Linked DNA regions of Schizosaccharomyces pombe. The gene in region 2 interacts genetically with the main gene of each other region. Each region holds a gene or a part of one and is shown on either strand. Other genes may lie near its edges.

Region 1 (3,016 bases), on a different chromosome or scaffold from region 2:
CTACTTCTGCAGCATAACCAAATACGATCTTCTAAATTTGCAGCTGTATAAGGAAGATGTTCCGATTATAAACTTTTTTCCTTCTTGGACCTTTTTGCAGGTGCTTTCAAGTTTTTTTTTGAATTTTGGCTAAGAAGCAAACGAAAGATTTTGAAGACTATGCTTTCGCAACTTTATGAACGCAGTAAATTCTGCTTATGAATGGTGCATACAACGGTTTATGGACTTGCATATTTATTTTATTCTGGCATTAATTGCATTTTGCTTTACCAGTTGGAGATTGAATCGAAGTTTTATATAAGATACCAACTAATAATGCGTGTACAAAAAGAGACAACAGACGCATTTACATTACAATTAGCATCTAAAGAAGTGATAACATCAAGCATATATAATACATTTAATAATACTAATGAGCATATGTATCTTCAACCCATATGTAACCGAATCTTCCTTATGACAAGCATTATTGATATTGCAAGTTTTAAGGCACAAGTATTGTTTCTAAATATCTTTATGATCAAATAATAATTAGCTTATTTGTAATAGCTTGTCTTCGATCATTTTTTGTAACTATTGCTACAAATATTATTCATCGAAACAAACTAATTTACCAATTTACCACCTAGCAAATTACCCAAATCTTTAAATCGTAAAAATTTTAAGGAAAATTAAATCGCCATCAAAATATTAACAATATGGTATAAAGACTTTTTTAAACATGAACTATCAGAAAAATGCAAAAGTCCTTTGATGTAGCGGCCAAAGCTTTTTAGTTTAAATGCATGATAGTACAATCATCAGTACATCTTTAACTCAGAATTCAGGAGAAACAAATATTGTACCTCATATACTAACAAAATGATAGTATGATACTTTTATTATAATCGGATTAAACGAAATTAGCACTCAGCAACTTCATTTGATTTACGTGGAGAACTTTTGGCCTGTTGCATAGCCAAGGCAAAAATACGACTGGAATTTGCATTTTCATTTAATAATCTTTGATTCCAATGTGAGCCTGACTGCTGTATTAGTGGTATATCTTCGTTGCGAATTACAGAGCCGATGGACATGAAAAAGCCAAAAGTGGCCGCAGATGTTAACATGTATTGACCTAAGGTCCTTAAGAATCCACGTGGACCAGGCCCATAGCGCAAAACTGCTACTCCTCCAAATAAAAACCCGATGCCAAGTCCAGCAGCTGAACCCATAATGGCGCCCATTTTTACTGTTCAGTGTTAATGACTGAATTCATACAATATAGAACTTACGCTTATCCACAGTTGAAGGTTGCATAGATTGCATTTTGAGTAGTTAAAGGTCTTACTTTTATTTAGAAATAGAGAGCACTAGTTTCAAGGGGGATTTTGTTGGTAGGAAAAGTAAGGTAGTATACAGTTATTATATTGGATACCTAGGTATAACAATAGATGTAACAATTTCTTTTGTTAAATCAATAGTTTAGTTTAGGAAATGTTAATTTAAAGAAAACCTATATATATATTTTTTATAAGCCCAGTTTTTTTAAGTAAATGTAACAATGTATTACATCCAGGCATGCGTTAAGTGAGAGCATAGGCTTAACGTTATAATGACTTCTGAATTAAAATAAAACATTGCATTGGCATGTATTGCAATTGCTAAAGTCTGCTATGTATATCTGACATATATAATAAATTAATTCCCCTCGGCTTCGGATTGAATTTCCTACCTTTTGTTATTAAGAAGCCTATCGCTAATTAATTACTAACATGTCCTTAGCGAAATTTAATTGAGTTGCATTCTTAGTTACATCTACAAATGGCAAAGTTCTAATGAGGGAGTGTTGTCATTCCTGCAGCAATTATTTTATTATTTAATAGACAAGTAGAACATAAAAGAACAAAAATGGATATATGTATATATATATATATATATATATGTCAAAAAACATTATTTTAAAGATAGCCTTCGTCAGACAATTGTGAAAGGACAGCAAAAGTAACCTCAGAAACAGAGTCTTTGGGCTTGATGTTTACGGTAGTCCACTCAGCAGGTACTTTAACAGATGCATCAGCATCAGCCAGAGAAACAACAACGGCAGCACCAGCACGTTGCAATTCTTGGGCGTAAAACACTGAAATAGCATCTAAGCGAGGTAAAAGAGTGACATGGCGGCGACCATCCTCGTTCAAGGCTGAAACTAGAGCGCTGGGGAGAAGTTTATCGGAGGTGGCAGGAACAGCCAAAACAAATCCTTGAGAGTATTTGGGAGGATAGGATTGACGTAAAATAGCGACAACCTCTGGATAAGAGAACCACTCAGGGATGTTGGCACCGACGCGAAGACGGCGACGAAGTTCAGTACCACTGATGTTCAAAGTACGGGTACCGGGTTCGACTTTGTCAACTGGCTTGTAGATGTCCTCATCAGGAAGGTAAGTCATCATTTGGAAAGGAACAATGGTGATACCGATTTCCTGAGCGTATTGTTCAACAAGGTACTGAGCATCGTAAGGACCATAAAAATCCTCGCCTTGACTGTTCTTACCAGGACCAGCATGATCACGACCAATGATGAAATGAGAAGCACCGTAGTTCTTACGAATGATGGCGTGCCATAAAGCTTCACGAGGACCAGCCATACGCATGGCTAAGGGAAGAAGAGAGAGCTTGGCGGAACCCTTAGGATAGCGTTGGAGAATAGCCTCGTAAACACGCACACGGGTGAAGTGATCGATATCACCAGGCTTGGTCATACCGACGACAGGGTGAATGAGCACACGGGCACCGTGTTGCTTAGCAGCACGGACGGTAAGCTCACGATGGGCGCGATGCATGGGATTACGGGTTTGGAAAGCAACGACGCGATTCCAGTTGTTACGCTGGAAGTCAGAGCGAAGTTGAGCAGGTGAGTAGCGGTACTCTACGAAATCGAAATGGCGAATAGGAGTAACGGCTTGAAGTTTACCACCAACATACACATTTCCAGCACGACCAAACAAGTAGTCGACGGCAGGGTGGGCGCGATCAT
Region 2 (3,759 bases):
ATATATTTCCGAAAAATTTATTAGATTTATGTACATTTAATAGACCAAAAATAAAGGAATAAATAGTGACTGAATCAATCACTGCTTTCTAGTTCTCTGACTTTGAGACCTTTTTCTCATTCAATTCGGCTAATAACTTTTCCGCAGTACTAGGCTCTTTCACACGAATCAAATACATTTCAATTGATTTTCCATCAGTAGAAGCAGCAGGTACTTTTACGTCCTTTTTACCAGCCAGGCTGTATTCAAAATCCTGGCACAAACGAACGTTTAACAAAAGTTTTCCACTTCCCTCGACACGCGCAAGGATGCGAGCAGAGCCAGTGTCACGATCTACGTTAATTTTTAATGGACCAATCCCGATATCAGAATAAGATTTACTAGTAGCATCGAAACGGTATATCTTGGCCCTTGTCTCAAATACGCTGTCTTCATTTTCTTCGCCTTTTCCTTTACCAGAAACTAGAGAATCATTCGATCGAGTTTCATCATTTCCGTTTTCCTTTTCTTCTTGCTCTGATTTGTTTCCATTAGAAGTTTCTTCACTTTTTTCAGCGCCAACAGAAGCTGGAGTAGAAGAAGTAGGAAAAGAAGATTTCGGAGCAGCAAAAGAGAACGGATTAGTAGTAGTTCCAAATGAAAAGCCGACAGCCGCAGCGCTAGGAGGCTTCACATCCGAAGAGGCCGGTAACTTTTTGCTCGATAATGGATTGGTAAATGTAAATTTTTTCTCAGGTGTGTCAAATTTGATAGGCTTATCAGGAGTCCAAGAAAAACTCATAGTATTTCCCTTGGCAGGTTCAACGGCGTTCTCGGATTTTTCATTGTTCGAGGGTTTAGATTCTTCGCTCTTTGAATCTTTAGTTTCATGGGTTTGTTTGGTCTCTTTTGAAGCATCCGCAGAAGCCATAGTCGTTGAGAAAGAAAACACGGGAGTTAATGGTTTTGATTCCTCATTTTCCTTCTTAGCGAAAGCGAAAGGATTAGCGGCAGTATTGAATGAAAACTGGTTGGTTGTGGTAGCGGCAGTACCAGTGGCAGTTTGATTAGAAGATGTTTCTTTCTCCTTCGCTTCCGCTTCTGTTGCGGACTTCTCACCAAATGACCCTTTAGGAGTAAAAGCCGATGAATTAAACTGGAAAGAGCTACCAAGCGCTGGAGCAGAAAATCCGAACCTAGGAGCACCGGGGGGAACAAGGGGCTTCTCCTTATCCTCTTTTTCTGAAGAAGCTGGTTTTTCTGTAACAAAAGAAGAAGAATCTTGGCTTTTTTGTTGCTGAGGATTTACCTCAGACACAACAGCATTTGAAGTTGGTTGTTCTAAGAAAACGTTAGAAAGAAATGAAGTACTAACTATAAACGCATTACCTTCTGCTGGCTTTTTTTCTATACTTGAAAAATGCTGCCTGTATTCATCAAACAGAGGGCTCAAATTACCAAAGGGATTATTGTCAACACTTTTGATAACAGCGTCAATAAATGATTTATTAAGACCGCGTTTTTTCAAGTGAATATCTGAATCATTATTAGCTGTAACCGCGGGTTTTCCAAATGTAAATTGCGTAGTCGATGCAGGTAAAGACACCGGTTTTGCTGCCAAATTTGCAAAAATTCCCGGAGAAGAAACACCGCTCGTTGGTCTTTTTCTAGATTTTGGCTTTGCAATTCTAATACATTAGTACCTAAAAAATTGAAGAACTATGTTTCATCGTTACATACTTTCTTGTGGCCATCACGTCTGCGGAGGCCTCCTTAGGAACTTCAACTGGACCATGACGGTCATCATCAGAATCATCTTGATCCTTAGTTAACTGATGATCAGCACCGCGTTTTGACATTTTGCTAGTTTGCGAAGGTCAACTGTTAGCCCCAAAACCACCCAAACTTATGGCCTTCACTATGTCTCCTTATTTACTAATGTTACAGTAAAATAAAATAATACAAAAAATGAATTGTCGCTTGATTTTAATTAAGTATTACAAAAATAAATGACTATGGTACAAAAATTATCATAATAAAGAGCGTTCAGCTTTTTTCTTAGCGTTTCAGTTGGGCCAAAACAGATTCGCATCTGTCACATAATCCGTCCTCATGAGCTGTATGCATCCAGCAACGTAGACATTTTTGTTGATTTGAAAAAAATAAAGAGATATTTGCAACCCCATAATCCAACTGAACTTCAGGTTGTGTAACGGAAGCTAATTTCAGATTTTCGGGAATTTCGTTAATAAATACCTTCGATGTATTGAACAGAAAAGGAAGGTCGGAAGAGTAATTTTTTAAAAAACTCAATAAAGATTGAGATTTTGACTTAATAACGACATAAGCTTCTAATGAGTTTTTAATAGTTAGATTTTCACGAGCTGCGGTAATCAACAAATTAATACTATACTTAAGTTGTTGAAGAACCAAGTATTCCTTAATTAAAAATTTTCTATCAAGTAAATCAACTTTTGACCTTAAGCTGCTTATAAGATGTGTTTCTCCAGCGTGAAAAGGAGTTTGGTAAGAAGAATTCAAATAACTATCGGGTAAGCTTTGCCAAATCTCCTGTGCCAAAAGTGGAGTAATGGGAGAAATGGCCCAAATGAGCGTAAGTAATGAATGATAAAGGACAGTTTGAACACTTCTCCTAGATACACTGTTGGGTAAATCAGCGTACAGACGATCCTTTACGGCGTCAAAGTATGTAGAGGATAAGAAAGAGTTCATAAAATAATTGAGATGATGAACAACTTTGTTAATTGAATATGATTCATAAAGTTCTCGAATTTCAGTCTGAAATTTATCTAGTTGGACTAAAGCCAACTTATCAATACCACGTAATTCACCAACATCAACTGAGCTCGAGGTATTCCAGTCATGTAAGTTCCCAAGACAAAATCGGGATGTTAATCTCCACTTTTTTAAGGATTCACCAACTTGCGTCAAAATGTTCGGTCCCAGGTTAGTATCATTCGTACTGTCACATGATGCAACCCAAAGTCTCAGTAAATCAACACCATATGGAAGCTTTTTTCCTTTTAAAAGCTTTCCGTTTATTACATCTTCAGGGTCGGTTACATTGCCCAAAGACTTGGATTGTTTCTGACCTCTTTCATCAAAGATAAATCCGTGCGTAAACAAAGTAGAAAACGGTGCTTCTGGTTTTGATTGGTAGGCAGTGTATGTGAGAAGAAGTGACTGAAACCATCCCCTGTGTTGATCGCTTCCTTCCAAGCAAAGGTCAATGAGCGGTTTATTCTTACGAGGTGCTATTGTAGTCCAACTAGTCCCAGAATCAAACCATACATCAAGTGTTTCAGTGCCACGAATATACTCCTTATTTCTGTAATCCGGATGAACCCACTGAGCATGCCCATTGTTTTCAGTATCATTAAACCAAGAATCAACTCCCTCTACTTCCATTTTCTCAATGATATAGGATACACTTTTCACAGTTAGTAGGGGGATTTTAGTTCCTTTCTCATACAATACAGGAATGGGTAAACCCCATGCCCGTTGGCGAGAAATGCACCATTCAGGACGGCCATTCAAAAAACCAAGAAGTCTGGCGCGCGAATTTGGAGGAATCATTTTTACACTATCAAGTGCTTTTATGGCAGTTTTCCTTTCATTCTCCAATGATATAAACCATTGAGGGGTCGCCCGTAAAATTAATGGCTTATGTGTTCGCCAATCGTAAGGGTAGCGGTGCTTATAAGGAGAGACCTTAACAATCATATTTTGATTTTTCATAATACTTATTACTTTCTTTCC

What was found. A genetic interaction does not mean that the proteins touch.
Region 1: mutations in nup61 (region 2) and mgr2 together harm fitness more than expected from each alone (negative genetic interaction), as found in Schizosaccharomyces pombe (one large-scale study listed by BioGRID).

Annotation. Positions count from the first base shown.
Region 1 is NC_003423.3:1,569,545-1,572,560, forward strand, and holds mgr2 (protein Mgr2), read right to left. Parts: upstream 1,376-3,016; 5' UTR 1,309-1,375; coding exon 1,275-1,308; exon of another isoform or gene 1,232-1,274; coding exon 903-1,231; 3' UTR 660-902; downstream 1-659. Other genes in the region: septation protein Uds1, read left to right, coding at 1-17; SPOM_SPBC27.05 (uncharacterized protein), read left to right, coding at 202-528; sua1 (sulfate adenylyltransferase), read right to left, coding at 1,941-3,016. UniProt on the Schizosaccharomyces pombe protein: Required for cell viability in cells lacking mitochondrial DNA.
Region 2 is NC_003421.2:731,384-735,142, forward strand, and holds the start of nup61 (nucleoporin Nup61), read right to left. Parts: upstream 1,859-3,759; 5' UTR 1,839-1,858; coding exon 1,720-1,838; exon of another isoform or gene 1,668-1,719; coding exon 1,369-1,667; exon of another isoform or gene 1,321-1,368; coding exon 89-1,320; 3' UTR 1-88. Other genes in the region: ism1 (isoleucine--tRNA (Ile) ligase), read right to left, coding at 2,038-3,759. UniProt on the Schizosaccharomyces pombe protein: Functions as a component of the nuclear pore complex (NPC).